Rhinolophus ferrumequinum: one gene and its partner. The protein of the gene in region 2 interacts with the protein of the main gene of each other region in a pairwise test. Links are inferred from orthologs where the notes say so. Each region holds a gene or a part of one and is shown on either strand. Other genes may lie near its edges.

What was found.
Region 1: the proteins of PRR22 (region 2) and NELFA interact in a two-hybrid assay, tested with the Homo sapiens proteins (2 studies listed by BioGRID). The two-hybrid records come from large-scale screens. The link is inferred for Rhinolophus ferrumequinum from reciprocal best matches to the Homo sapiens genes PRR22 and NELFA.

Annotation. Positions count from the first base shown.
Region 1 is NC_046288.1:87,026,561-87,042,972, reverse strand, and holds the start of NELFA (negative elongation factor A), read right to left. Parts: upstream 7,179-16,412; 5' UTR 7,125-7,178; coding exon 6,915-7,124; intron 1-6,914. UniProt on the Homo sapiens protein: Essential component of the NELF complex, a complex that negatively regulates the elongation of transcription by RNA polymerase II.
Region 2 is NC_046301.1:58,340,993-58,356,802, reverse strand, and holds PRR22 (proline-rich protein 22), read right to left. Parts: upstream 4,318-15,810; 5' UTR 4,047-4,317; coding exon 3,917-4,046; intron 3,814-3,916; coding exon 3,751-3,813; intron 3,434-3,750; coding exon 2,343-3,433; 3' UTR 2,342-2,342; downstream 1-2,341. Other genes in the region: DUS3L (tRNA-dihydrouridine(47) synthase [NAD(P)(+)]-like), read right to left, coding at 4,619-4,691, 4,785-4,913, 4,991-5,179, 5,519-5,594, 5,772-5,868, 6,114-6,224, 6,294-6,359, 6,568-6,684 and 5 more.

The DNA of each region.
Region 1 (16,412 bases), on a different chromosome or scaffold from region 2:
AGCAACGGCCCTAGTTACTCTACTGGCTACTGCGCCAGTCAAATCCAGTCTCTGGATCTGAACCGAAACATGGGCTCTTCTTGGGTCTCCAGCCTGCTGGCTTTTGGACAGGAACCACACATGGCTACCCGGGGTCTGAGGCTTGTTGGCTACAGATCTTGCAACTCCTCAGATGCGACAATCACACAAAGGCGATTCCTTTTAATAAAGGCCCTTTGGCGTATTTAGGTAGGTACAGGGCGTACACGCGCATGCACACACACACCCCTAGAGCTTCTGGTTCTCCGGAGAAGCTGGTCTAATAACAGCGTGGAACACACCCAGCACGGTCATCTAGGCCCCCTGCATATGGTCCTGTGCACAAAGGCTTAATCTTCAGAATGACATCCCTAAGGTATCAAGACCCTTAAAGAACTGAAAAAAATAACTAAGACAACTAAGTGAATTAGGATGTCTTAGAAAGATTTTTTTAATACCAAGAAAATAAATAAAAATGCTTTTTAGAAAAGTAAATTACTCATAATGGCCTAGTTCTTTTGCTATCTATATCTAGCTAAATGAATCCTTTATTATAATTTTCTGTAATACGGACAAAGTCCAAGGACAAACTACACACACACACACACACACACACACACCACACACACACACACCAATGAAAGAAAGCTATACCTATATTGGTCTGGACAGAAACAGAGTTTACGGATAAAACACTACCAGACATAAAGACCCATGATTCAGTTTACCAGGCAACCATAAGAATTCTAAACTTGCATGTACCTAGTAACATAGTCTCAAAATATATGAAGCTAAAGTTGATAAAACTATGAGGAATAGAGAAGTCCATAACCATAGTAAAGATCCACAAACCCCTCTCACTAATTGATAAAATAATTTTTAAAAGATCAGTAAGAGTACAGTAGACCTGTACAACACAATTAAACAAATTTGACATAATGAACACATACTGGGCAATGGATCTCAAAACTAGAGAATAAACATGCTTTTCAAGCTCACTCACAATGTTTACAAAAACTGACCACATACTATGCCATTAAGCAAATTTTAAATTTCGAATGACAAGTTATTAGACTACATTCTCTGACAAATACTCAATATACTAGAAATCACTAATAAAAACTAAAACCTCTCCCCCCTTTGATGTATAGAAATTAAAAACATTTTTAAATTACACAAGCATTGTCAGTGAAGAAATCATCACAGAAATTAGAAAATACTGTGACTTGATAATAAAAACACTATCAAAACTTGTAAGATGAAACTAAAGCTGTGATATAAGAAAATTTATGGCTTTATATGTATATTTTAGAAAAGCTGAAAAACAGAGGTCAGCATCCATCTTAAGAGATTAGAAAACAATAACAAAATAAATACAAAGAAAGCAGAAGAAAATAAAGTGCACAAATTAGTTAAACAGAAAACAGAGTATCAATAAAGCCAAAAATTGGTACTTCAAAAAAGCTTATAAAATTGACAAACATCTGGTGAGATGGATCAAAGAAAAAAAAAGGAACATCGCTGTACATGCTTCTGATGTTAAAAAGATATTAACTATTTTATGCTAACAAATTTGAAGTTTTAGTAGAATGGTCAACTCCTTGGGAAAATACAACATCAAACCTTTACTTAACATAAAAACAAAACTCAATACTCAAAACTCTTCCCACAAAAAAAATCCAGGTCCCCCAGATGGCTCTATTACTAAGCTCTACCAAACATTTAGGAAGAAATAATTCCATTAGTAAACAAACTTTACAAAGAAGAGGAATATAGAGGATACGCTGTAACTCCTTTAATAACAGTAGTGTAACTTTAATACCAAAAATCAGACAGTCTGGGAAAGTAAAATTAGAGGCTAATCTCATCCATGAACAAAAACACAAAATTCCTGCACAAAATATCAGAACAAAATAATCCAATATAAAATGACCAAGTTAGGAATGCAAGGTTGGTTTACGATTAATCCTGTCTGTTAATGTGGTGAGTTACACATCAACAGATACTTTAAACATCTGATTAAAAATTCATTCATGTTCACACCATACACACACACACACACACACATACACACAAACATTTGGTAGAACTTAGTAATAAAGCCATCCGGGGGACCTGGATTTTCTTTGTGGGAAGATTTTTGAGTACTGATTTTTGGTTTTATGTTAAGATTTGATGTTATATTTTTCTAGGGAGTTGGCCATTCTACTAAAACTTCAAATTTATTACCATATATATATATATATACACACACATACACACACACACACACACACACAGTGTCAAAACAATGTATACACATTTTAAGAAAGGAAAAAACTGTATTAAAAATGTAATACAGAGCGGCCGGTGGCTCAGGTGGTTGGAGCGCTGTGCTCATAACATCAAGGTTGCTGGTTTGATTCCCACATGGGCCATTGTGAGCTGCGCCCTCCACAACTAGACTGAAAATAACGGCTTGACTTGGAGCTGAGCCACCATGAGCAGTGGCTGACTGGCTCAGCTGGTTAGAGCGCAGTGCTCATAATAGCAAGGTCACCAGTTCAATTCCCACATGGGTCAATGGGCAGTGTCCTCCACAACTAGACTGAGAACAGCTTGACTCAGAGTTGGGGGGGGGGAAGAAGTAATACAATGAATAACGCTAGCATTTATTTGATTAACTCTGTCTGAGTGAACGTCATACTACACATTGCTACATAATTCAATTCAACTTCAAAAAGTAATACATAGATAACAGCTCTTATAATGTGTGTACATTTTTCTGGCACCCGTGATATATATACATGTATATGTATATACATGTGCATACATGTGTGTATATATGTCTGTGTGTGTGTATATATGTACATATATTTACACACACACATATATATATATAAAGCAAGGGTTGGCAAGGATGTGAGAACTTAGAACACTCAAAAATCACTGGTGTAAAATGTAAAAATGGTGCAGCCACTGCAGAAAACAGTGTGGAAGTTCCTCAAAACGTTAACCATAGTTACCACATGACGCTTCTAGGTATATACCTGAGAATTGAAAACATATGTCCACACTGAAAATATAAAACATATGTCCATAAAAACTTGTCATGAATTTCCACAGCAGCATTATTCGTAATACTAGACAAAAACTTGAAACAACCCAAATGTCCATCAGCTGATGAGTAATTGATGAATAAAATGTGGTCTATCAATATAGTGGAACTTCATTCTGTCTTAAAAAAGGAATGAAATATTGACGTTACTAATCTAGATAAACCTTGAAAATATTATGCTAAGTGAAAGGAGCCAGCCAGTCACAAAAGACCACATATTATATGATTCCTTGTAGGGTTTCCAGGTGGGAATTCCCACCGTTCTCAGGAAATTTTTTTGCTTTCTTATTCCTGAATCCCGAGAAAAGTTGGTTGGGAAATCGCAAAAATCGGCTCCTTGAACCCAGTAATACCCACAATGGGAAATAAAGGTACTATGCACAATGTATCTCTTAAACATTTTCCCTATTTATCGCTAGGGTTTCCGGGAGGGAATTCCCACCCATTCTCGGGAATTTTTTTCGCTTTTCCATTCCCGAATCCTGATAAAATTTGGTGGGGAAATCGGGAAAATAGGCTCCTTGAACCTAGGTGGTTGGTAGTATCAGCTATCACTTTGTGGAGACGATTCATCGTGGAGAACAGAAAACAGTTTATATCTCAGGATTTGGGAACGGGAAAGTGGAAAAAAATCCTGAGAACGGGCGGGAATTCCCACCTAGAAACCCTAATTCCATTGACATGAAATGTCCAAAAGAGGCAAACCCACAGACACCGAAAGTAGATTAGTGGTTGCCTAGGCTGGAAGGTGTGTGTGGGGGAGAAGCCTGCTAACAGGTAACAGAGTTTATTTTGGGGTTGGTGAAAAATGTTCTAAAATTGACTAAGATGACAGCTGCACAACTCTGAATATATTAAAAACCAATTCAACTGTACATACTGAATGGGTGAATTCTGTGATGTGTGAGTTGTCTCAATAGAACTGTTACAAAAAACTCATTCATGATTAAAATAGTTTTTTTTTTTAATCTAGGAACAGAAGGGAATTTCCTTAACCAGTAAAAAATATCTGCCAAAAATAATAGGAAACATACTTATTGGCAAATATTCAAAGTTCTTCCAGTGTTGCTGTCACACAGCAACCTAGCCGACTGTCGCCCCATGTCTTTCCTTGAGGAAAGACGGGTCTGTGAGACTGTGCCTTTCTGGGACTTTGTTTTATCTTGATGTTTTACACCTCATGTCTCTCTGTCTGGTCCCCAAAAGATGGTTTGCAGCCAATGATGAGTAAGATTCCCCATGGGGGGGCAACTTAAGCCAAGCAGAACCATGTGGGGACCCCCAATGAGCTAGCTGCCTTGGAAGATCTGGGAAGGGGCCTTGCTTGCCTCCCCTTCCCGCTGCCTAGAAAAAGCCACTGCTGACTCCGGCTTTCCCCTCTCACCTGATTGTGAGAGCGATACAATCAGCTCTCCCCTCTAACCCTACAATTAAGTGTCAGCATGAGAGACCTGTCCCTAAGGAGGACATACCACCATTGTTAAGACACCATGGGACTTTCTGTTTCGGCTGTTTACAGGCAAGCGTGATTGGTTTGAATCATTTTTCTGGTATGATGTATGAGATTCACAGACTGTGGAAAAGACAATGCTACTTCCTTGTATGATAATCAATAAAAGCCACCAGTCAGCTCGATTCTGGGCTCCAGTCTTTCAGAACTGTGAGACCCCTGGCCTTCTGAGATTTAACTGCATTAAGTCTCTGTTTCTTTCTTCCTTAAAACTTAACCCAACGCCACCCCTTCTCGTCCCCTTACAGCCTGTGTTGCGCTGGACGCGACAGTGTGGCCAGAAACAATGTACTGGAGTGTCCTGGTGAATGCAATAAGGCAAATGAATGAATGAATGAATGAATGAATGAATGAATGAATAGCAATTGGAAAGAGAAATAAAATAAGAGTTAAGTGCACAGAAAAATGAAGATTCTACAGGAACATTATTGCAATTAGTAAGACTAGCACAGATGCTATTCACAAACTCATCTAAAAATAAAATTTTAACGGATATTTATATCAGCACGAGAAAACATGAAATATCTAACAGAAACTGGAAGGCGTCTGCTGAGAAAATCATGCAGCTTTACAACAAATATTAACATTAAAGACGATCTAGGAGCTTGTAATGCGGGAGCGGTGTTCTCTGGCAGCCAAGTCCGGCAGGGGCAAAGCCAAAGCAGGGCCTGGGGCTGCTCGGAGCACGAGGAGCCTGCTGGGCCTGGTCCCTCCTCTCTCAGGAGCACACCCCTGCCAAGGTCAAGACTGTTCACGTATTTTTGAAATAACAAGAACCCAACTGTTTCTGGATGCTCACGGAGGTGTCCAAGAGAGGACTCAATCCGGAGCAGCAGTGACCAGGTTGTCTCCACGCTAAAACAAACGAAACGCAAACCCAAATATTAAAGATGTAAGTTGAGATATGCCTATATTAATAATTCATGAGAGTCAATATTATTAAGACGATTTAACCCCAGAATGAACTATAAATGCAACTCAGTCTTAATCAAACCCCAAGTTGTACGTGGGCGTACGTGTAACCTGAGAAGTGAAGGTAACACACACGGAAGTGCAAAGGGCCAAGAAGAGCCACAGACCCTGAAGAATAAAGTGGGCGGGTCTGCGCCGTTAGCTATCAAGACTTACTGAGCTAGAAAGTGGCACAAAGAGGCTTAGTGTCATTAATACGTAGCCTACAGGAACAGAGGAGAGCCCAGAAACAAACCCACAGCCTAAGTGACAGCGCAGATCAGCAGGCTGCCCCTGGGGCCAGGTGGGCAAGGCTTCCGAGGCGCCTGCGTGCGCTTTGGGTGGCTTTGCGGGACCCCCGCCTGAACTGAACAAACTGGCACTTGTGCGTGCGTTCGCGCTCACAATAAAACAGGCACAAACCTAACATGCAATCGTAAGGGACCGAACAGGAGTGGGGGAAACGTCCAACAACTACGGGGTTCACTGCACGAAGAACCCGCAACACGCCGTTCCCGGACAGGCAGTGTCACCCGCATCAGGATGCTGCAGAAACGGGCGTGCGGCGAAGCCCGGGAGTACCGAGGGACCTAAGTGTGTGGCCACTCTGTGGGCTAAAAATAACAACACGCGGTCCACAGTCACTGGAAAGTTCTCCGCAGGCCATCGCGGCCAGCTCTGCCCTCTGCGCGGCTTTCAGGGACCCAGGGAAACCCGGACAGACTCGCACCCCCACATCAGGGCACTAACCTCCGCGCCCTCCCGCAAACACGCACAGGCACGCACCGCCACCGGCGCTAACAGGTGGTGCCCTAACAGGTGCCCGATGGCGGCTCGGGGTTCGCATCCATCCCCGCTGCCCTGCTCCCCAAACTCCCCTGCAGGCCGAAGGGCTCCGCTTTTCCTCACCCAGAATAAGGGGGCCTGTGAGGGTGACGGTCGGGGGAGGGGCAATGAGGGTGGGGGAAGGGGTGTGCCGTGAGGGGAGCCGCTGGAAAGTTCTACCGGGAGCGCGGAAAACCCAGTGCGGCCTGAGAAGGGGGGCTGTGAGGGTGGGGGGCGTGAAAGTGGGGGGCTGTGAGGGTGGGGGGGCTGAGGGTGGGGGGCGTGAAAGTGGGAGGCTAAGGGTGGGGTGTGTGAAAGTGGGGGGGCTAAAGGTGGGGGGCGTGAAAATGGGGGGCTGTGAGAGTGGGGGGGCTGAGGGGGACTGTGAGGGTCGGGGGAGGGGGTGCTGTGACAGGGGGGCTGGGGGGACAGTAAGGGCCGGGGTCTCGGGTCTAAGGAGCACGGCCGCGAGGTGGAAGGCAGGCCCTGCGCCCCCAACGCCGCCCGCCTCACCTCGTCCACCGTGCGGCGCGGGAGGTGCAGCGTCCCAAGCAACAGCTTGAGCTTTACGGCCGACGAGAGGCTGTGGAAGCAGAGGCGGATGTTGTCGATGACCGCGGCCGTGAGCAGGGACGCGATGCTGGGCGGCGCCCACAGCTCGTCTGTGGCCCCCAGCTTGTTGTGCAGCCACAGGCCCGTGTCGCTCTCCCGCATGGACGCCATCTTGGGGGGGGAAAGCCGGGCGCCGCCGCCGTGCCGGCATCTTATGAAGACACCTACGCGCCCATGGCGAGGACCCCCAACATGGCGGCGCCCGCCCGAGCAGGCTGCGGTGACGTCACAGGCGGGGCGGGGCCTCGGCGAGACGCTTCGTGGTGACGCCCGCGAAGGCCTGCCGGCCGCCCTTGAGTAACATGGCGGCGCCCACGACCGGCTCTCTGAAACAGCCGCGGAGGGTGACGTCAAGAGAGACGGAGATGTCGCGCCGGTGTGGCGTGTGGGCGCGGCGGCTCTGGGCCGAGGCTCTCGACTGTTCCCGCCATGGATCCCAGGGCTTGAGCAGCGCGGGCATCCGGCTCAGGCCTCCCCACGCCTCCCGAGGGAGGGGTCCAGGTCAGACAGACATTTAGGAGCGCCTTTGTCAAAGAGAGCCAGGTCCAGCTTTCATTCATTCCTTCAGCAGTCCAGACGGGCTGAGCACCTACTGTGTGCCTGGCACTATGCTGCGCTCATGAAAGGGACGGAGAATTTCCCTGGGAGTTTATTTGAGCCAAATCTGAGGGCCGGCTAGAAGCAAAATCTCAAAGGACTGAGAAAATGCTCACGGAAGAGCAATTTTGCAGTTCTTTGTATGCATTTAGAATGGAAGGAGAGAAGGTAGGCACGTGGAATCCACAGGTGGCAGGTTAGGAGGCGGAGAAAGCCAGGCGGGCAGTTTCTGGGACTGGATAAAAAGTAAGACGGAGAGACACCGCTTTACACGGGTGGGTGCAGGGCAATTAACACTAAACATTTTGTACAGAGCATGACTTAGGGACACAAAACGGAATCTAGTCATTCTGATAGCTATGTCAGTCACAGAGTGACCGTCATGCCAGGGCGTCACGTGAAAACGTGGAGTGTGACCACCTGGACGATGCTTCCTGGGACTGCAGGAGGGGGCACCGCCCCCCGTCTCGAGCATAAAAGATCAGAGCTCACTGACGGCTCCTCGCTCAGGCCTCAGCCGACCAGCTGACAGCAGCACCTGCACTCGTCCCAGAGGCGGCGCTTGAAGCCTCGCCTCCTGACCGTGTCACCAGCCCACCTGCCGCCCGACACTCCGCAGCCCAGCACCGGAGGACTCTCGCTGGACACCGGACTCTCTCATCCTTCTTTCCTAGACTCTGTTCGCCTCGCCTCACCCTGTTACTTGCAAACCCGTGTGACCCTCCTGTGTGAAACCGCCCTCCCTCGCTATTGGAGGCTGTCCCCGACCAGAGCCTCGGTTAACGCCCGTGGGAAACCAAGTCAGCAGGGCTAGATCCACGCTTTATTCTAATAAAGTCTGACGTTGTGGAAAGACACCAACGTGTGTGAAACGGCTACCGTCACAGCCACGTCCCACTCACGACACATTTACAGCACAGACAGATGGTATGCGGGGGGCAAGGTAACAGGACTGCCGTGCTCTTGCTCTGGTGCCAGCAGTTGTGCCTCTGAGGTGTCTGTAAAAGAGAATTACTCTGACATTTCAAAGGTACGTTATCCTTGATGAGCCCAAGGTAAAGACCAACCTTTGCTAAGGAAGCTGTAGTCCTGGCACGTGACTACCCACTATGACCTGCCCAGTTAGGGATTTATGATCTGACCGTGTATGGTTACTGTTGGTCACTGAGCTTGTCAGGCCTGCCACGTAGCCTGTTGTACGTTCACATCTGGGTGCTGGGGGTACAATAGTGAGACCCAGACCTTTGCCTTCGTGGGTCCCGTGACCCAGGGGAGTGGGCAGTCTACAGAGGTGAAGGTGGTGTGGACAGAAGAGCTGGGCAGGTGTACAGGGAGTGATGGGAGTGCAGTTTTATGCAAATTATGTCTAAAAGGACTGGGGCAAGCTTTCTCAAGCCTGGCCAGTCTCTCTGGTCCCTAGTACCCCTGTGATTGCCATTTGCCAGGCAGCTGTCCCAAGAAAGGGCAAGTGGCTATGCCTGCAGCTGCTCCACGTCCTCAGGGTCAGCTGCAGGTGGCCTTCCAGGTCTGACATCTGCACCTGCCAGGTTTGGGCCTGCGTTTTCCAGATGCCCAAAGGGGGATCAGTGGTCAGGTACCTTTTGAAAGGGAATCAGCCCTGCCTTGGGGGCAATGGGGTGCTTACCACCCGCAGCCCTGAGTTAGTCTTGTGCATAATCAGTGAAGGCACAAAATCAGGGCTTTAACCAAAAGCTGAGTGCCCCTCCGTCTGGAGGGGGGCCCTGTCCTGCCCTGGCCAGCCCCTTCCCACCAGGCCAGCTTCTTCACCTGCCTCCAGTGGTCTCTGTCACAGGGCTCACAGGCGCCGGTGGGCCTCTAGTGGGCCAGGACAACAAACTGGAGGGACTCCCTAGTGCGGTCACAAACTGAGATGAGTGGGGACTTGTTTACCGTGGCACAGCCAGGGCCACATCTCTGAGGAGGTGACACTGCAGCTCAGGGTGAGAGAGGCTGCAGGCAGTGAGTGGCCTGCACACGGAGCACCTCGGGCTCAGGAGGTCTCCCCACCACATCCCTTCCCTGCGCCCCTCCCCTATCACAACCTGGACCTCACCTCCCGAAACAATGCTTGTGCCCACATTTTCCGTCTGACCTCCCCCTGCCCTTCTTGCCCATAGGCTCTAGCCTTCTACTTCATCGAGAACATTTGGGGAACGGGGTTGGGGGCACCTACTGCCTTGCCCTTCTTTCTGTACCTGGGCCGTGGAGAGATCAGCAGTTAGACCCCTCAGACCAGGGTCCTCATTGGTTGGGATGAGGCCCACCTCTGGTTTTATTTCATTGGAGTCTATTTTTCTTCCTTCCACCATCAGTCCCAAAGCTCTCCTGTCCTCAGACATCTCACCCCTACTCTAGTGTGTTTGGAATATGTCTTTGACAAACGTAAAGAGTTCTTATGTGTGTTTGTGTCTTCAGTGGACAGAGATGGGATTGTACCGAGTCTCGTGTCCACCACATTTTCGTCTCCATTCCCCTAGGATTAAACCTTCACATCGCGTCCACTTGCCCACCTTACAGACAATCTATGATGAGGACGCTTGTACGAGTCCCCCAAGGACTATGGGTAAGGGTTTGGGAGGTACAGGCCCAGAGAGGGGTATTGGCCAAATGGCACCCCTGTAATGTCATAGAGGGCTGCCAAGGGGGGCTGCACGTCCCCTCCCAGTTGTGTGCTAGAGCCAGCTTGTACAGGCTTGCAAGAACTATTGTTAATTTTCAGGAATTTTCTAAGCCTGTCATTCAAAACAGCCATTATCAAAAATTAAACTTTATTGTATTCATTTTATTTCTTTACCTTTTACAAGGCATTTTACTTCATCTCACTCTTGCCCATACTCTAGATGTTATTTACGTCCAGTGTAACTGAACGGGGGAAATGCTGTACATTTTGTTATAACGCTGATGAGAAAAAAATGCATCCGCAGCCTGGGCCACGGTCTCTGTGGAGTGTGCACCTTCTCCCCTCATCTTCTCTGGTCCTCCCGTTTCCTCCCGCGTCCCAAAGATGTGCTCATGAGGTGAATGGTGTGTCTACATTGTCCCAGTGTGAGCAAGTGGGCGTGGGTGCACCATGTGATGGCAGGGCCTCCTGTCCGGGGCGGGACCCCCCTTGTGCCCTGAGCTGCCGGGACAGACTCTGGCCACCTGTGACCCTGAACTGGAATAAGCGGGTTGGAAAATCACGACCTTCCTTGTTTTTATTAATTGTTCTTAAATGTATGTGGAGCTCACATTTACTTCAGTGTTTAATATTAGAAGTGTTTTGGGTGTTTATTTGGAAGTTTGGCGATGTGTTTGTGACTAGAAATATGCCGTAGGAACTTAGCTCTGGTTTATACAAATTAGCCGAGGGTAAAACTGGTTTCCTTATACGTCGTTTCGCTTCAAGTCGCAGTTTCCAAGAACCTACCGATGATGTTAGGTGAGGACTGCCGGTAGCCCAGCTGGAGTGCTGCCCAACTCCTCCCAACTCTATGTTCACTGAGGTTGCACGGGCAGCTCGGACTCAGCCATGGTGGGCGTGTTTACACCCCGGGAACGGGCAAGAGCTACACATCAGGGCAGGACTGACTGGTTGATTGTCCAGGCTTAAGAAAGTGATGGAGAAAATGCTAACAATGAAGAAAGCATGTTGTGTCTGTTGTCATTACATTGTGAAGAGCTCACACACACACACACACACTTGAAGCAATGTTTCTTCCAGTATTCAAGCACTATTACCTGATTCAGCAAAAGAAGTCCCTCATGGCACTGACTAACAGGTAAGGTTCTGGAGTAAGTGATGCTAAAGCTAAAAGAAGTTTAAGTTAAATAACTAAGTTTTTGAGGTGGAGAAATAGTTTTGCAGGTGATTAAACATCAAATTTAGTGACAATGCACTTACCGGGGAAGAGCCGATTGGAATAAAACCCCGTATATCAAACAACGCTTGAACTGTAACCATTGCTTGACTGAGATGAAAATCTTTGTTAACTGGATGCAAATGTTCATAGCAGCTTTATTCATATTCATAATGGCCAAAAATTTGAAACAATCCAAATTGCGTTGACCCCATTTGTGGCTTTCTGTGGAATATTCAGTGCTTGGTGTATATGTCCTCAGTCTCATGTCCTTGAAATCAATTGTGAGTCATCAGGAAGAATTCTGCTTAACCACTGGGTTAACAAAGAGAAGACAGACCACTAGAAGGAGGCATTTGCAATATCAAAAACCATCAAAAAGCACCAGTGGATTAACATTTAGAATGTAAAAAGAAATGCCTGTAAATTGGTGAGAAAAAGACAGGCAATCCAATAGAGAACTGGGCAAACGATAAGAAAAGGCAGTTAATAGGAGGGGAACCAGATCCCTGAGACTTAACAAAGAGATGCTTAACTTATCACTAAAACCTGAAAAATCCAAATTAAAATAACATGATGCCTCATTACATCTATTTATTACATTGCGAAATTAGAAAGTCAAAATTTTTGTTTTTAGATATGGATATCTAATTGTCCCAACACTATTTGTTGAAAAGACTGTTCTTTCTCAAATGAACTGCCTTTGAACCTTTGTTAAAAATCTGTTGTCCATGTATGTATGGGTCTATTTCTGGACTGTTTTCTATCCTGATTTATTTTCACTATCTAGCTGTACACTAATACCACACTGTCTTGGTTACTGTAGCTTTATAATAAGTCTTGAAGTCAGGTAGTGTTAGTTCTCCAACTTTGTTCTTTTGCAAAGTTATTTTGGCTATTTTTGGTCTTTCACATTTCTATATACATTGTAGAATCACTTGTCAATTTCTAGAAAAAAAATTTTGGGCACAGAGTTGTTCACAGTGTCCTTTATTATCCTTTTTAATGTCCATGGGATCTGTAGTGATGTCCCATGTTTTATTTTTGATGTTAGTAATTCGGGTCCTCTCCTTTTTTAAAAATTGAGATATAATTGACAAACACCAATATATTAGTTTCGGGTGTACATAAAAATTAGTAGAAACCTCACCTGAAATGAAGTAGGGAGACCAGAAGAGGGAGCTCTCACTCCCCAGATCGCACTCTGTTGTGTTATAATAACCCTCCCAACTTCCTCTTCCTGGCTGTAGAAGTTTCCTTCGTTTTCAGTGATTGCTTGTGGCCCACCAACCATGGTTGCGTGTTCCAGATTACAATTCTTCGTTGTTTCCAAATAAATCCATTCTGCTGGAGAAATATCTGGCTGAATTTTTGTTTAAGGTCAACATACACAATAATAATGATTGGATATTTATATATATTGTCCTTTATTTTTTTTCTAGTTTACCTGGCTAGAGACTTCTTGATTTTATTGCTCTTTTCAAAGAACCAGCTTTTGATTTCATTGCTTTTTCTCTATTGATTTTCTCTTTTCAGTGTCATCAATTTCTGCTCTAAATTTTTATTTCTTCTGCTTACTTTGGATTTAATTTGCTCTTGTTTTTCCAATACACTACAGTAGAAGCTTAGGTTATTGATTATAGGTCTTTCTTTTTTTTAATATATGCATTAAATACTACAAATCCCCTCTAAGCACTGACTTTGCTGCATCCCACAAATTTTAATGATTCATTTTCATTTTGTTCAAAATATTTTAAAATTTCTCTTGTGATTTCTTCTTTGACCCATGAGTTATTTAGAAGTATGTTTAATCTCCAGATATTTTGGAATTTCTCAGCTACCTTTTTGTTACTGATTTCTAGTTTAATTCCGTGTGTCTGAGAGCAGACACTATGTTTCTATCATTTTCAACGTGTTAAGGAGTGTTATGGCCGAGAGTGTGGTCTGTTGAGGTGAATGTGCCACGTGAGCTTGAGAAGAACGCGTGTTCTGCTGTTGCTGGAGGGCGTGGTCTTTGATGTCCACTCTATCCAGTTGGATGATGGTTGAGTTCAACCATGTCCTTACTGATTTTTCGTCTGCTAGACCTGTCCAGTCTGACAGAGGACCCTGAGTCTCCAGCTATAACAGTAGGCTCTTCTGTTTCTCTATTATTCTTGCCTTAAAATGTATCTTATCTGAAATTAACCTAGTGATGCCAGTCTTGTTTTTATGAGTATTGACATAGTCTAACTTTTATCTATTCTTTTACTTTCAGAGCTATTCTTTTACTTTCAGCCTTTCTATATCTTTACAAATTAGTTGTGTCTTGTAAACAGCAGAGAGTTGTGTTGGTTTTGCTTTTTTTTTAAGGTGACAATCTTTGTTAACTGTAATATTTTGTCCATTTTCATTGAATAAAAATCATTGGCATGTACTCTCCTTTTGTATCTTCTTTTGATTTTTTTTTTAAATTTAATTGGGGAATATTGGGGAACAGTGTGTTTCTCCAGGGCCCATCGGCTCCAAGTCGTTGTCCTTCAATGTAGTTGTGGAGGGCGCAGCTCAGCTCCAAGTCCAGTTGCCATTTTCAATCTTTAGTTGCAGGGAGTGCGGCCCACCATCCCCTGTGGGAATTGAACCAGCAACCTTGTTGTTGAGAGCTCACGCTCTAACCAACTGAGCCATCCGGCCGCCCCTTTTGATTATTCTTCATCACTCATTTTATTACACACACATTAAAAGTTATTTACTCTGAGTTTTTTTTTAGGTTGGTGCAAATTAATTGTGGTATTTTTAACCTTTTAAACTGCAATTACTTTTGCACCAACCTAATACCATGTTTTCCCGAAAATAAGACCTAACCGGAAAATAAGCCCTAGCATGTTTTTCAGGATGACATCCCCTGAACATAAGGCCCTTATGTGTCTTTTGGAGCACAACTTAACATAAGACCAGGTCTTATTTTCAAGGAAACACGGTAGTAGTTTTGTTAGAAATCACAATGGGTCTACTTAGCTTATTACAGTGTAAAAATGAATAATACCAGCTTCCATTTATGATCATATGGTCTACCACTTTAAACATCAAAAAAACTGGACACAATGCACCAAGTGGAAAATAAATCACAAGCAGCCAGCAAAAAATAAATAATTAAAATTAAAAAACTGGACTCAATGTGAAACAGTGCTTTTCAGGCAGGAGATAACACGCAGTGCACGGCAGTGATCGCAGAAGGAGAACGTCCAGGTGAGTTCTACTTGAGCCCAGCCTCTCTCTGGAGGAATGTTCTAGGCTGCAGGATACAGCTGGCCAGTATCCTGACTTGAGGAGACAGAGCAGACTTTGGGGAGCCCCAGCTGACTAGGACTTTTAGGGCAGAGTACCGGGGAGAGCGTTGCATAGGGAAAGCAGAAGCTCTGGGTTCTACGGTGTGCCCCCTGCATGGTCTGCGGGGTGCTGGGCCGCTGGGGGGGTTGCCTACCTCGGGAAAGAGCCCCTGGAAGGGTAAGGCTGGACAGTGCTCACTCAGAGCACATGTGGCCAGAAATCGGTGTTGTCCCCACCAGCCACAGAGCACTGAGTCCTCAGAAAGCTCTTGCCTCAGTAGTGGGTTCAGTCGCCTAAAGACTGTTCTGAGCTCACTAACAAAACTTGATGACCCAAAAAGATCAGATTATTTCCAAGTAGCTTGACTGCATTCCAGAACAAAGCTCAGACATATATCCAGGAACGAAAATCTCCAGGACATTGTAAAATTGACAATATCTGGCATCCAAGAAAAATTACCCTAAATGCAAAGAAGCAGGAAAACACAACTCATAATGGGAGGAAATGGTTCTGTCAGCACTGAAAGGCTGGGCTGACTTCTGGTCTCCCTGCTTCACGCGAGGTGTGTCTGTCTGACCAGGCTCAGAACCAAGTCCCATTTGGGGCCACAAAGCCTAGGTTCCCACTTCACTCCCCGCCCTGTTCAGCTGTCAAAGCCTCAGCTGAATCAACTCGACATGACAGATACCAAATTCTGCCCGTTGGACCCATGCCTCCCAGTCTCCCCCAGGCCAAGCTTGATGCCACCTTTGCCTCCTTTCTTCCACACCCTCTGTCCACTGGCAATGCCCCTGGGCTCCACCTCCCCACCTCAGTGCCCCCTTCTGGGAAGGCGGGTGCAGGGGTGAGGGGAGGGTTAGTGCAGGGGGCAGGTGAGGGCATCCTGACTGCTGAGAGTCGGGGTGGTGGGCCTGGGGACGCATCTGCTCTGGGAGGAGAAGGTCCCTCAAACACTGTCCCTGGCAGATACCAAGGCAGGTGTGAGGCACCTGACCCAGCGCCTTCACGGTCCCTGAGAGCAGCATTCCGATGCCCCTGGGCCCACCTCAGTCCCAGAGTGGGGCGGCCAAGAGCGTGTGGAGGGGTTAGGGCTCCAGGTGTCGGGGTGTAGGGCATCAGAGGGGTCCACTTCCCAAGCTTCCTGGCATCACTGACAGGCCATATTTACGCTGACAACTCTCACACTTCAATGTTCAGCCCCTCGCGGGCTCTGAGCCCAGGCCTAGAGCGTCCACATCGCCAATGCGCAATTTCTGACCTGAACACCAGCCCACCTGCATTCTCCCTGCACCCACCCCTTCACTCCCTCATCTCCGAAGGCCCCCTACCTGCCCCCCACCCCTGCAGCCAGCCCAGCCCACATATCCAGTTACCCAGAAAGCACTCTGTTTCTCCCACCGTCAGCCTCCACCTCCCCTTGGTGGCAGTGGCCTCCCCATGTGCCCTTTGTCCTATCTTATCCCACCCAGGCCCGGGCTGTGCGGTGGCACCTCTCTGCCTGTGTGAGCAGGTCTCACACTTCCTGAGCATTTTCTGTGAGTTTCCTGTGAGTTTCCAGGTGCTACAGACACATCAGGGAGCAAAAGTGACAGGCTCGTGCCCTCCAGGCCTGGCAACAGGATAGAGCCCAGGC
Region 2 (15,810 bases):
TGCCATGTACATGAATAAAAGTTTGGAAGCATATATTTTCCATGCATACATGTTATTTATACATGTGCATATAGACATGTATACATATCTATATACACATGTATACACACACATATGCATGTGTGTATGCTATGTAGGCATGTGTGTATACATATATGTGTGTATACCTGTGTGTAATATGTACATACAAATGTATATATAGTATGCACACACAAGTGCAGGCATATGTATACACACGTATCTGCTTATGCACGTGTATGGATGTATATACACATGCATATGTGTTTATGCCTGTGATATAAATATATATACATAGGTAGATAATGTGTACATATGTGTACACACATGCGTGTATAGATCATGTGTGTGAGAATACACATGCATGTATACATATGTATATAATGTGTGCGTATATACATGCATGCATGTATATAGGTCGTATGTATAAATATATACAATGAATATGGATATTCTTTCCGTCCATCCATCAGTGGGAGGACTTCATTTTAAATCCAGGTGGCATGGAGGCAGCCATCTATCTCATCCTAAGTGAAAACTTGGGGTGGGGTCCCACGACTTTCCTGATTACTCTTAGGTTAAAAAAATATATACCCTGCCATCATTTAAAATTGTCCAGTGCAGTCTCAATCCAGTCGTTGAAACTTCTACCCCCAAGTACAGTGCGGTGACCAGTTGCCCCACCCATCAGGGCTGAGCTGGCTGGGCCCCACCCACCCTCCAGTCTCTTAGGTTGTTAGGTAACACTGGCTTCCTGACCCTCGTCTGCATTCATCTTCAAAAAAATGAGCTCATCCTCCTGGGTCCTCCCCCTCCTTTGCCAGGGCCTTCCCTTCGTCGGGGACACTTGATTTTCACCTCAAAATACCCCAATGCTACTTCAGGGAGAGGGGCTGAGAGGGAAGCCTAGGGAAATGGGCTCCAGGCTTCTCCAGGCCCGTGTGGTTCAGAACAGAGATGGGTGGGGACAAATGTAAGCGATGCCTGGGATGGAGAGACCACTGCCTGGACAGCACACGCGTCTCCACTCCCCTGCGTTTTGAAATAAGCGTTCAGGGAGATAAGCCACGTAGGCCGGTGGCACCATAGGCTTGTGGCTTTGGTGCTGGGCACATGGGAGGCACCAGGTTTTAGTTCCCAACCCTGTCCTCCCCTCGTCCAACCACCTCCAAATTCTAGTCAAGCCCACCCATCCCCAACCCAGCCCAGGGCCTGGGGCAGGAGGGCCCCTTCCTCCCCTGCAGCGGGAGAGGCGGGGAGGCCTCCTTCCATCTCTTTTTGATTCCTGATTCCTTACATGTTACCTGGGAAACCAAGTTGCCCCTTCAGTCACCTTGAGCATTTCAGGGTAGGCCATAGCCAGCAGCTGCCCCCGGGGCCCTCCCTCCAGAAATGTTGAAGAGAGGCTGGACCAGACACGACCCCTGGGAAGAGGAGCTGTGTGGGCCTGAAGGGGAGGAGCCAGGGCAGGAAGCAGCAGGTGTGAGCAATAACGGACACCCACACTGGGGGCTGTCCTGTGCCTGCCACCTGAATGCAGAACTCCTGCACGGGGCCCAACGGAGAGAACTGGCACTCGGGGCCCAGCTGGATGCCCTCACTTGGTGCACTCTGCACACCCCCATTACAGGTGGGCCTGTTTCAGGTCACCTGTGTGCCAGGTGGGCACTGCCTTCCACCTCCCTGGCCAGTCCCCACCCTCAGGCCATCAGGTGCCTCCACCTCCATCCAGCACCTGCCCCCACAGCCCCCAGGTCTGCCTGAATAGGAGTCTTTCCTATTCACCATGGCAACCCCTCCCTGCCAAGCGCCACCCCAACCCCTCCACTAGGGGGCAGTGGCTGAGGCAGAGCCCAGGCCACAGGCCCCTCACAGGCCTCCCCCTCCCTCAGCCAGTGGTGGTTTGGACTGGAGACGTGGAGGTGGGGGCCACTCCCAGGGCCCACCCTGCTTGCTGTGTCTCCAGGCAAGTTCCTGCCGTCTCTGGGCAGCCTTGACTTTCCTCCCCAAATATTGAGGAAATCCTTCCAGTGCTGGAGTCTGGGTGGTGTCTCCCCACTTTCCAAAAGCCCCTCCCTTGCTGGCCGACTGATTTTCCAGAGCTAGGACACGTGGGATTTAGAATCCCGAGTGGAGGGATCCAGAATCCCGAGTGGAGGGATCCAGCCTCAGACTGGAAGCCTGGCAGCCAGGAAGCACTGGGGGCCTGCGGTCCTGAGGGGCCTCCCCTCATGGCCCTAGGCCAACTGGACAATGGGGTGAGTGTCCCCAGCCCACTGCCCCCCAATGCACCGAGTGGACAATGAGCTGAAGTCAAATCCGCTTTAATGGGGGGTGGCTTCCAGGTCCTGCCTGGGTCCCGAAGGGGTGGCGCTGGCCAGGCCCGAGGCCTGCCTGCTCTTGCCTCCCTGCCTCCCCTTCTTGGTGGCTGAGGCACCGGCCTTTCTCTTTCTCTCGGGCTCAGCCCGAGGGGCTGTGGTGGTGGCGGCGGGGGGCCCTGGGCGGGGCGGCAGCTCCTCATCCAGCGCCTTGAAGTTGAAAAGGGAGTCCACGTGGGACACAGTGTCCAGGATCTCGGGCACGCTGTAGTCGAAGGACAGCAGCTCATCCGGCAGGCACAGCGAGCGGATGTCGCCGGAGGAGTCGTCCCCGTCGCCACGGTTATTGGGTAGGGCTGGCCCCAGGGCCTTGCACGGGGACCCCTCAGGCTCGGTGACCCCCGGCAGGCAGTCGAACAGCTTCATGGCGTCCTCTAGCAGCACCTTCTCAGGCAACATGAAGGTCCTCGCTGCCTCGGGGTGTCTGGCCTGGCCCGCCCCCAGTGGGGCTGTCTCCGCCTCAGCAGCCTTGGGCTCCACGGGGCCCGGCCCAGTGCCACCGCCCTGCAGCTCCTTGGTAGGGAAGGCCAGGGGCTCCCCGGGCCCGTGGAACTGGCTCAGGCGGCCCTTGAGGTGGCCATAGGTGCCAGGGGGCAGCGCAGCCTCAGTGGGCAACGTAACGTGTAGAGGGGGCAGCTTGTTCTCCTTGGGGGGCAGCAGTGGTGGAGGGGGCACCAGGCTTTCCTTGAGCAGGGGTGGGGGCAGCTCCATGAAGGTGGGGGCCCCCCCATCCCCCACGAAGCCCAGGGCCTCAGGCCCGGGCCCCTCGGGCGGGAAGAAGGGCATGAGGTACTGGGGGCCCCCAGGTGCTGGCTGGAAGTGGGGGTACGGTGGGGGCAGTGGGGGTGGCACCGAGGCCTTGAGGTAGTGCTGGGGCTCTAGCAGGTAGGTGCCTGCCAAGGCGGGGCTCCCTGCTGTCCCCCCGCCGCCCACTGCTGCCAGCTTATACAGGGACGACTGGCCGAAGTCGGTGGTAGCCCACTCAATTCGGTAAATGCGGGGGTCAAAGAAGCAGCCGCAGGGTGCCATCTGGAAACCTGTGGGCCGGGGAGGGGCAGCCCTGAGAGGGGCATGGCTAGGACCCGCCTGCCTGGGGGAGGCAACGTGGGACATGGTGGTGGTGGGGACACAGCCAAACCATGGGAGCCCAGGGACACAGGCCTTTTTTTGGGGGACCTGTGTGGGAGACAAGAGCACAGGCCTTGTCTGGATGGGGGACACAGGCCCCTTTGGGTTGACAGAGACACAAGCCCTGCTTTTAGGGGGCTGTCGAGGGATGGGGTGGAGGCAAGACGGCCCTGCCCGCTCCAACCAACTCCCAGGGCCTCGTCAAGGGTTGGGCAGAGGCTGGTACCTGCCGGAGGGGCTGGAAACACCTCTTTCTCTGGGTTTGGGGGGTGGTACAGGTTGGAGGAACCTGTGAACAAAGGCAGGTGGGTAGGTGGGGTCCTGAGGCTGGTGGGCAGAGCCCTGGTCCCCATCCCATCAGGTGCCCCCAACCACTGCTCCCCGACTCATACCCACAGTGGGAAGAGGCTCCATGCAGGTGGGAGTGGGTTGGCTGACCAGCCCCTCGGTGCCATCCAGGCCCCGGGGACTGAAGCCTTCTTGGGAAACTGTAGGAGCGTAGAAGGGTTTGGGGTGCTGCATGGGGAGGTGGGGGGCCCAGCCCAGGCAGGCCAGGAGGGTGGCAGATGGGAGCACAGGCAGTTCACCTGGAGAACAGGCTCAGAGTCCCAGAGTTCTGTTTGCCTGGTTACTCCGGGTGGCAGATTCCAGCCCGTAGCCCACCCACTGGTCAGGGTTCCGGGGGTGGGGAGTGGGCAGAGATAGAATGGGAAACCAAGGCAGCCAAAGACACATGTCACAAAGGGTGGGGTGGACCCTGGGCCTAATCTGCTGCTCTGAGGCCTCTTCCTCCAGGCAGCCTGCCCTGAACCACACCCACGCAGGCTGAGGAACACGTCCCTCAAGAGCCCTGGTGGCTTCTTTGTGGTCAAGGCCTATCTGGGTACCAGCAGCGGTCAGCATGGGGCTAGGACCTTGGGAGTGACTGAATCAGGAGGGAGGAAGGGAGCTGTGAGGGACAGGGTGTCCAGGGAAAGGTCCCAGGAGTAGGAAGGGGCAACCTCAGAGTCACAGGCCTGGATTTTAAAAAGAATAAAATTTATTGTCTTCTCAAGCACTAGGGAGCCCCTCCGACACCCCTCCTACCCCCAAAGCTACTTGTATGCATTGGCCTTGTGTTTTGGCAGGAAGACGAAATTGGGCGGCACAGGTCCCAGCAGCATCTCACTGTGAGGAGGGGGGCGGGGGGCAGAGTCAGGCCTGAGTCCCGGGCCACCCTGCGCAGGACGCCCCCGCCCCCAGTGCCTCGGTTCCCGGTACCTGATGCGGATCCAGTCGGAGGCCTTCTGGCTGGCCATGAGCGTCTCCAGGTAGTCTCGGCCCAGGTAGTAGGGGGGCCGCTCGTTGATCCTCTGTGGCAGCCGTTCCAGCAGGCCCACCGGCACATACCTGTGGGCAGGTGGGGGACAGTGTTGGGCCAGGCTGGCCTGCCACCAACACCCCCACACCAGTCACCCCGTGCCCACCTGCACAGGAAGGAGAGCCATTCGAGGAGGAAGCGGCGGGTCTTCTCCACACCCTGCGTGTCCGAGCCCCAGTGCTCCAGGCCGTAGTGGGTGAAGTCCCGCAGGATGTCCAGGCGCTCAGAGGACGAGATGTCCCAGTGTCGCTGCTCCTTGATCTCCGTGAAAAGCCACGGCTTGAGCAGGGCGCCGCTGTGGGGCAGGGGCGGTCAGCGGCCCCCAAATCCATAGTCCCAGACTCTCCAGCTGTGTTCGTACAACCTTTGAAGCCAGAGCTCCAACCCCCAACTCCAATCCCACAGCTGTAGAAATTTCCAGTCCTCCTGGCCCCTGCCATCTCCGTGTATCCCTTCCTGACAAAGCCACCCACTGGGGACAAATGGACCAGGAGGTGAGGCAGCTGGGCTGGGGGGTAGCATGACAAAAGTGAGAAAGCTCAGACACACCTCACCCTCCCTGAGCTGCAGGCTACACGCTCAGGGGCAGCTCCAGACAGTTCTCTGTAGCCCCCCAGGCACCGGGCACACTCACCGGGCAATCATGACCCCAGCGACACCAGTCTGCAGGGCACGGTTAGTGTCCTCATATGACAAGATGTCCCCATTTCCTGAGGGACAGAGATGGGGCCTCAGGGAGCTGCATGCAGGCAGCTTGGGGAGTTCTGCCAGCCCAGTGCTCCCCACGGGGGCAGGGAGGGGTGCCAGATGGGAGGTGGGCCCAGGTGTGCATGGACTTTGATGGCAGGGCTGGCAGGCAGGTCTGAGCTGAGTGGCAGGGGACCCACCAAACAGGGGCATAGGGCTGGCCGCCGTCACACACTGCTCGATGTACTGCCAGTCGGCCAGCTTGGTGTAGCGCTGCTCTCGAGAGCGACCGTGGAGCTGGAAATGTGGCCACATGGGGAGGGCAGGCAGGTCCGGGGAGGGGGAGCATCAGACAGAGAGAGAGAGAGAGACCCAGAGAGACCCAGGCTGAGACAGACAGAGACAGACAGAGAGACAGACGACAGGAGGGAGAGATGGAGGAAGGGCCAACATGGATGGGGAGGAGGGGTAGACATAGCCCATTAGAAAGGGTCGCCGAAGTGCCCCCGAAGTCCCAACACCCGCTGTGCCCCGAGACCCACCGTGACCAGGGCTGCCCCCCAGTCCCGAAGCTTGGGCAGCAGCTGGTGTGCCAGGTTCACACGCTCCTGGACGCCTGTGCGGATCTTTACAGTCAGGGGCACATCCAGCACCTGCAGGAATGGTTGTGGTCAGCGCGGCCCAAGGTCAGGCAGGGAAGGTGGGGCCATCGTGGGGCGTACCTGGTTCATGCAGCGGACAATCTGCTGGAACTTGGCCGAGCGGTTCATGAGGGCACAGCCCCCGCCCTGGGAGAGACAGGCAGCTGGAGCGAGGAAAGGTAGGACCCAGCCTGGGCCCGACACCCCTAGCTGCCCTTGCTGTATACGTGGGGAAACTGCGGCACAGAGGGCCCCGTAGGTCCGCAGTGACTCGGGCAGGAGCAAGGCCGGGTCCCAGGCCTCCACCCCACCCACACCTTGCCCACTCTGGGGTCTGGAGCCAAGTGGCTGCTACCTTCTTGTACACGAGGTCGATGGGGCAGCCAACATTGATATCCACAAAATCCACCTCTATGGTGCGGTTCAGCAGCTCGGCACACTTGGTCATGGTGTCGGGGAAGGCGCCCTCCAGCTGTGGCAGGTGGCGGGGTGGGGGGGGTGAGGGCCAGTGCTGACCGCCATGCCTGGCCCCATGCCAAGGCCAGCAGCCCTTGGAAGTGCATCAGGCTGGTGCCCCGGCCCATGGCTGAGGTGAGAGGGGCCTGGGAGGAGACTGAGCCAGCCCTGGGAGCCAAGAGACAGGACCCCGAACCTTGCTCCGAATCTTGGCAGCAGAAGCCCCTCTTCCCTCTTCCTCCCTCCCTCTGGGCAGCACCAACCTGGACACCAAAGATATCCTCACACGGGTGGCGTTTGAGCAGGGCCCACTCGGATGTCTGGCCCTGCAGCAGGTTGGTGCAGACGGCCATCTCCCCACACGTCACATCGGCCCCAAAGCGTTTACAGATCCGCCGGAAGGGCAGGTTCCCACACTAGGAACAGCGGGGACACACACACTTGAGGGTGGGACAGGCAGGGACCCCAGACATCTGCCCCAACCCCAAGACCAGCACGCACTGGGCACTGTTGGGGTGACCACACTGCCACCACCCAGCCCACCCCACGTGGGTCCTACCGTGGTGAGGGGCGCCAGGTACAGTTTGCCACCGATGTCAAGCTGGAGAGAAGGAACACGCAACAGTGAAGCTCTACCCTTCAATCTGACTTTCGGGGCTTCCCTTCTCACCACATTATAGAACGTTTTGCCCTGCCCCACCAGCCTACCACCTTTTTACATCTGGGCCTCTGCACATGTCAACCAACCCTCTATGAGAAATGTTCTTTTCTCCATGGTCTCTATTAGAGAACTTCTAGTCAACTATCAAAACCCCAGTTCTAACGCTTCTTCCAGGAAGCCTTTCCCACTGCCTTCCTCTGCCCCAGTCCTGACTCTGCGGCTAGGAGTGTGTCCAGCTCCTTCTGCCCCCCACACTACTAGTGTCAACAGGAAGCCTGTGACACATACCCGCCTCTTCTCACAGGGTCGCAGCCTGACTATGTCCTCATCGGTCAGGGGCCCGCAGGTTTGCTCAGGGATGCTGGGAGGGGTGCCGGCGCCGGGCCCCCGGGGGGCCTGCTGGGCATCACAGTTGTCCTGTCCTGGCGTACCCTCAGCCCCCATGACCTCGGGGACAGTGGCAGGTGGGGTGGAGCCTGGCTGGTGGCCCTTTCCTAGCTGGTGCAGGGCCTGCTCTGCACGCTCAAAGTGGATCTTGCGCTTTCGCAGCTGCTGCTGGAGGGCCTTGTCCAGACTGTTGCGGATAGGCGGGGCCGGGACCACCTCCTTTTGTACCAGATTCTGGCCCTCGGGCCCCAGATGAGCCCCAGCAAAGCGACAGGTCACACCATATGGGCACCTGCCGTAAGTCTCGAATAGTACACAGCAGGGACCCAGGTCAGCTGGCTTGGTCTCCAGGTAGAGGCCCACGTCATGCAGGAAGCGGCAGCGATCACCAAAAAAGCACTTAGCAGCCGATTCCTGCAAGGAAACAGGGACGCAGTGACGGAAGACAGGGAGAGGCTGGGGTGGTCAGGCTTTGAACCTCAGATCCCTCCCTTCCTGGTTGTGTGTCCGTGAGCAAGTCAGTAACCTCACTGTGCCTCGGTTTCTTCATCTGGAAGATCAGAATGATAACGATATTTATATCATAACATCATGAGGATTGAATAGGGGACAGAGAGGCACAGACTGAAGACCTCTGGGACTTGCTTGTGACAGTGACACTCACCTGGACCAGGGAGGGGCAGAGCCTGTTCTTGTCATAGTGGTTGGGCTTCAGGTGGGGCCGGCCCTTGTTCTGGCCCCGGGCTCTCTTCTGAGCCTGAGGCTCCTCCCTGTACTCAGCTGCCTCCTCCGTCTGCCCGTCTCCATCCTCCAGGCGGATCCGCTTGGCCTCAGACCCAGCAGGGTCATGGCCACCAAGGTCTCCTGCCTTGGTTTTCCGGCTGGACTTTTCCTGCCCTCTGGCTTCCAGGAATTCGTGGAACTGCTCCTTGGTGGTAAGGTATCTGCCCGCAGGGAAGGGAGGGAAAGGTAGGCTTGTCTGAGCTCCACTGAGCTCAAGACTCAGTGAACTCTGGGGAAAAGGACTAAGAACACTTTTCTCTGCTTATGTGCTTCCGCTGATACGGAACTCACTACTTAGAACTGGCCAGGTGCCAGCCTGGGAGCACCTCAAGGCCACAGACAGGACATATTTTGTCCCTGCTGAATGTTGAGCCAAATTACAGGTTATCAGGTATGAATACCTTTGGCCACATTAGGCTAAAAAAAACTACACGACCCAGCATGCCTTACAGTGAAGAACACAGGTACCACATTTCCCAGCATGCCTTTCAGCCCTACAAGTCCCAGCCTGCATCGCGGTACTCGCTTAAGACACAAGTCCCAGCCTGTGTAACTGGCTGCTTGGAGTTCAATATGCACTATTCCCGCCATACACGGGGACTACAGACCCCAGCATGCACTGTGGCCCTCGTCTGAAGCCTCGCCCACGCTAGCATGCGCTTTTGCATGTGGCAGCCCCCAACATGCGTTATCTCAGGTACCGCCGCTGAGACATGGCCCAGATTGAAGAAACTGCGAGATTCCCGTCCGTAGACTGCCCCATCTCCCGGCATGCACCGCTCGAGCCACGCCACGAGTTCCCCGTGCGGTTCTCCAACTGTCCCTGCGACTCACCGAGATTTAATGGGCGCCACTCCCCGTTCCAGCGTGCCGGCTCCTGAGTCGCCACCGCCACCATTCTCTCCTGAGGCCTCCGCCGCACCCTCTGCCATCGGCCACTCTCACGCCCGCTTGGGACTGTGGCGGGAAGGCCTTCCGGGTCGCGTGTGTGTCTTACCGGCTCGTGCTAGGAAAGTGCGCATGGCCGGGTCCCTCCAAGTGACGCCATGTACGAGCGTCGACGTAACGAGGGCGGAGCCTGCGTGGGGGTGGGGAGTCGGGTTCCGTTTACTACTGATCCCTCTACTGGGAAGCCGGAAACGTTCAATGATTATCCAGGCGTTCGCGAACTGTTTTCCCGCGGATCCCAATCGGCCCACAGACGTGTTTTGTTTTCCTGCTGGGTTTCTTTTTTTTTAATTCCACTACATTTATGCGGCGCATTCATTCAACAAATAATTTGTTGAGCTCCTGTGTGGTAGACGCAGCCCTAGATGCCAGGGATGCAGCAATGAATAAAACAAACGAAAAATCCGTGCCCTTGAGAGCTTGCATAGGAGAGCGGAAGGCGGGCAGTGAACATACTACCTAAGTAAATGGTACCGTATGTTGTTGAATTGTAATGAAGCAACGAAGGGGAAGTGGGAATGCCACTTGGTTGGTTGCAATTTGAGAGAATGGTCAGGGAAAGCTTCGCTGAGAAAGTGACATTTGAGAAGCATACGAGGTATGATCAAAGAATATGGTGAATGTTTAAATTAAAAAATTGTTACAGTAAAAGACACATTGCCATTAGCCCCCTCAAAATATTCCCACTCGCTTTGAAAACATCCCATCGTTCTTGCCACTTTCTTTTCTTTAATTTTTATTTGGGAATATTGGGGAACAGTGTTTTTCCAGGACCCATCAGCTCCAACTCAAGTCGTTTTCAACCTAGTTGTGGATGGCGCAGCTCACTGGCCCACGTGGGAATTGAACCAGCAACTCTGTTGTTCAGAGCTCACGCTCTAACCAACTGAGCCATCCGGCCGCCCCATAATGTTTTTATTTGACAGAAATTGCCATACTAGAAGCAATGTGTGACACGGAGCCTTTCGGTTGATCACAAAATACAGTGAATGCTGCTGCCGAGTGCCATCCAAAGGAAAGGCAGGGAAGCAGCGAATCGAACCTTAGTAGCAGTGGGTGACAAGTTTCAACTTGTTAGCTGCAGTCAGTCAGGTGTGAGCTATGGTTGAGAGAAGGTGTGTTTTAAAGTGCCATAAATCATCCTCCATCATCTCAACACTCCACATCACTTCTGGTGTAAGGCAATTTCCGTCAAATAAAAACATTATGGGGCGACCTGGTTGGCTCAGTTGGTTAGAGTGCAATGCTCATAACACCCAGGTCGCCGGTTTGATTCCCACATGGGCCAGTGAGCTGCGCCCTCCACAACTAGATTGAAGGACAACAACTTGACTTGAAGCTGATGGGTCCTGGAGAAACAATATTCCCCAATAAAAAACAAACAAACAAAAAACATTATGGTGTGTTCTCATTCACCTTATTCACTGGATCTGGCCCCGTGTGACTTCTGGCTCTTCCCCAAAGTCAAAATGATTCAGGACATCGAGGCAGCCACCACAGCATGACTAAAGACACAGGAAAGAAGACTTCCAGAACTGCTTCAGAAAGTGGCAAGAAAGATGGGATAAGTGTGTTCAAAGTGAGGGGGATGGCAATGTATCTTTTACTGTAATACCTTTTTTTTATGTAAACATTCACTGTATTATTTGATCACACCTCATAGGGATTGTCATGCAGGGTGTCAGGCGGGGTCTCAGCTATCGCTCCCCACATAAGAACGCAGAACATGGTGAGGCCAAAAAGGAACACCCATGGAGCCATAGGTAGGGGAGTCATACCACTATAGTCTCGCTGGCGGCTGCGTTGGAGACACAGGAAGCAGGAGCCACACTGTCTACAACCCGCCGTCCTAACTACAATCCGCGCTTGCCAGCCACCATCTTCTTGCTAGCCCCCATTTTCTGCTAGCGTAGCCACAGCAGTTATATTCGTGGCCAATGGCTCACTGGTTACAGCCGATGGCCAACTAGCCACAGCTGATGGCCATCCCATCACAGTTGATGGCCATTTACTACCTGAGCCAGCATCCTTTAGCATGAGGCCGAGAGGAACCCTGTTGTTCAGAGCTCACGCTCTAACCAAATGAGCCAGTGGAAACTGCACTCCTGGCTCTGTCCCCACAAGGATATAGGGGGCAAAAGTGTTCCAGGTGGGGGGAACAGCCAGTACAAAGATCATGACTGGTGTGTTGGAGAAACAGGAGACCCTATGTGCCTGGAGCAGAGGGAGGGAGGAGGAGAAAGGGAGGAGGGGGCAGGAAGCAGATGGGGAGCAGGTCATCCTGGGGCTTGTGGGCTGCCAGGAGGACTTGGGATTTTACCCTGAGGGAGGTGGGAGAGATATGCACCATGAATCTAGTCACTATTTGTGACAGTCCCCACCATACCCTGCTGTGCCCCCCTTAAAGCTCTCTGTTCCCGGACGAGGCCTCATGCAGCACGGGGACTTCAGGGCTCTGGACTCAGCCTGTCAGGTTTGAATCCCAGTCCTTCCACTTGACAGCTGGGAATATCGTTTCGCTTCTCTCTGCCTTGGTCTCCTCATCAGAAAAATGCGGCTGATAAAAATATCTCTTGTAGGGGCGGCCGGTTAGCTCAGTGGGTTAGAGCGTGGTGCTCTTAACAACAAAGTTGCTGGTTCGATCCCCACATGGGCCGCTGTGAGCTGCGCCCCCCACAACTAGATTGAAACAACTACTTGACTTGGAGCTGATGGGTCCTGGAAAAACACAGTTAAAATAAATTAAAGTTTTAAAAAATTTTTTTCAAAAAAAAAATATATATCCCTTTTGGAAGGTAAGAATTTAATGAATAACAATAAATGTTAACAACTAGTGTCGTTATTACTTTATCACTGTTATTTGCCCTGACTTACATAAACATGGTGCTGAGTGGGAGCAACCAATCCCTTAGGTGTCCTTGCATATCACTGCTAACCTTGACAAAGCTGTCCCTGGGGAGGAACATGAGGCGAGGAGTGTGCTCCTTATGTAACAGATGGGGAAACTGAGGCCCAAGGAGGGAAAGGATTTGCCTGAGGCCACAGTAGGCTCAGAACCAGTTTTTCCAAGGCCTGGGAGAAAATGGCAGTGGGCGGGGTTGGGGTGCGAGGTGGAGAGCAGTTTATCTTCCATGTCTCTGGCTTCGGCTGCCCTCTGTAGGACAATCTGGGAATAAAATGGTGGAATCCGGGAATCTAAAACTGGAAGAAACTGCTACAGTTCTTGTGAAACTTCTTGCCCAGCCCCCCTTAACCCACCTCCAGGGACAGGAACTCACTTCTTCTTCCCGAGATGCCCATCCCATTGCCCCCTGAGGTTGTCCCAGTAGTCTCCCCCTGTCATCCCACAGGCACCCCAACCAGTCTGGGGAGACAGTTGGACAGGTGGGGAAACAGGCCCACAGAGGGAGACCTCAGGAATATGGCCTCCTGTCTCTGGGCCTCAGCCTCCAAGGGGAGCTCTCCCAGGGCTCTGGGGCGCTGCCCTGTGCTCTTTGTGTAAGGCAATCAGGAAGGCTTTCTGTCGGAGGGGGAGATGTGGACTGACCCTTGATAACTGTGCTATTAACATTAACGACTATATATATTTAAGATTTTATTGGGGAAGGGGAACAGGACTTTATTGGGGAACAGTGTGTACTTCCAGGACTTTTTTCCAAGTCAAGTTGTTGTCCTTTCAATCTTGGTTGTGGAGAGCGCAGCTCAGCTCCAGGTCCAGCTGCCGTTGCTAGTTGCAGGGGGCGCAGCCTTTCTTGCCACTTTCTGAAGCAGTTCTGGAAGTCTTCTTTCCTGAGTGTCTTTAGTCATGCTGTGGTGGCTGCCTCGAACTGGCAACCTTATGGTTGAGAGCCCGTGTTCCAACCAACTGAGCCATCCGGGAGCTCAGCGGCAGCTCAGCTCAAGGTGCCGTGTTCAATCTTAGTTGCAGGGGGTGCTGCCCACCATCCTTTGCGGGAGTCGAGGAGTTGAACCAGCAACCTTGTGGTTGAGAGCCCACTGGCCTATGTGGGAATCAAACCAGCAGCCTTTGGAGTCAGGAGCATGGAGCTCTAACTGCCTGAGCCACTGGGCTGGCCCTATTATTAACAATATTAATTGCTTATTATTTATTATATTTTAACAGTATAATATTAATTTTTACCAGTAGTCGAGCCATTATTGAGTGCTTACTGTGTACCAGCGAGCCCTTTCCATGCATTAACTCGCGTATTCTTTCTCTGACTTGCATGGAGGGAACAGGCATTCATCACACCTGCACCTGAATCCACAGGCCGCAGGGGTCCCTTGTCCAGGGACTGCCACACCATCCTGAACAGAGAGCAGGGTCTCAGCCTCTCCTCCTGCCTATCCCCCCCGCAGCCTGTCAGTCTGCACGTGCTGCCTACTCTCCCTCCAGTCTCTCCAGGCAGTCCCCTCTCTCGTCATCCTGCCTTCCAGGACTCCTCCCATTCTGCCCCCAACAGCCCCGCCTCCCACAGCTCCTTCTAAAACACAGATCTGTCCATAGCTCTCCCCTGCTCCCATGGCTCCCTACTGCCCCAGCCCTGGACCATGGTCCCCAAGTTCCTGCATGACCCAACCCCTGCTGTCTTCCCCAGCTTCGTCCCTCATCACCCCCCAACTCCCTAAACTCAAACACCAAGTTCATTCCAGACTTCCTATGAGACAGTCTTATCTCCTAGCCTTTGCATATGCTGTTCCCTCTTCCAGAAAGTCTATTCCTTATTCCCAGTCACCTTGCTCATTCCACTCACACTTTAGTTCTCACCTCCTCTTCCTCTGGAAGCCTCTCTGAGGGCCCCTTGCTGGGGATGGGTCCAATGCCCCCAACAGGCTCTGCAGCTGCCTGAGGGTCCCCCATCACCACCCTGATCATTCTGAAGCTGCCTAGCCACACACTTGTCTTCCCCACTAAACTGTGAGCCCAGGGAGGTGGGAATTGGGTCTGCCTTGGTCACTCTGTGTCCTCGGCACCCAACACAGGGCCTGGCACACAGTGGGTGCTCAATGAACACTTCCTGAGTGAATACATCTTATCATGGCTGGGGAAACTGAGGCACAGAGGGGGCACTGCTCTAGGGGTTCCACCTTCATTGAGGCTGTGGCAGGGGACTGAAGCCTTCCCGGGGGTCACACTGGAGAGCGTGGGGACATTGAGGAAGGTGTCCTACCGCCCTGAACCAGGCCTGAATCATTCTCCAAAGCAGGAAGGTGACAGGTGGCACTGGGGCCCCTGAGCAGATGGGATGACTGAGGCACCCAAGTGTGGGTGGGGCAGGGCCTGGGGAAGGAGCAGCTGGCGCTCTACTTAGTCACTAGTTCTCTCTCTACCTGTCTCTTTTATTCTTCCTGTTTCTGTACCAGAATGTGTGTGTGGGGGTACTCTTTCTGTATTTTGTTTTCTGTGTGTTCCTCTGTCTCTTTCATACTGTTTCCCTGAGAATAAGACCTAGCCGGACAATCAGCTCTAATGCGTCTTTTGGAGCAAAAATTAATATGAGACCCAGTCTTATTTTAATATAAGACCTGGTATAATATAATATAATATAATATAATATAATATAATATAATATAATATACCAGGTCTTGTATTAATTTTTGCTCCAAAAGACGCATTAGAGCTGATTTTTAGCTAGGTCTTATTTCCGGGGAAACACGGTATGTTTCTCTACATTTCTCTTTCCCTCCATGTCTGCGTCTCATCTCTCTCCACATTTCTCTTCCTCTGTGAGTGTGTCTCTCTCTGCATCTCTCTGTCTCTCTCCCCCTCTATTCCCCCTTCCCCCTCACCCTCTCCTCCATCTCCCCCATGCCCTCTCTCCGTCCCTCTCAGCCAGGCGGGATGGGGTTGGCAGCAACAAGGCAGGTGTGGCCCGGGCTCAGTGCCCACTGCTGCCGGGGCCGCCCCGGATTTGTGGCTGTGCCTCCTTTATCTGGGGCTGCAGCTGCCCCTTATCTTCTGGCTTCAGGACACGAGATCGGGATTAGGGCAGCCCAGGGCCAAGGACATGAGATGGCAGGGCGAGCAGGCGGGCGGGCGGGTGACGAGAGCCAGGTGCCAGGGTGGATGTGCTGCAGGGCTGCTGTGTGTGTGTGTGTGTGTGTGTGTGTGTGTGTGTGTGTGTGTGTGATGGTGTATACACATTTATAGCTGTGACTGCTGAGTATGAATGACTTTGGGGGGTGTCTGTATATAACTGTGTCTGTATGAATGTGTGTCTGTGAGTGTGTTTATGTATCTATGATTTTGTGTGTCTACTGTATGTCTGTGTGTGTGACTGTGTACATATCTGTGGCTTTTGTATGTGTGTCTGTGAGTGTGTAATGGTGTATGCATATTTGCCTCTGTCACTGCTGAATATG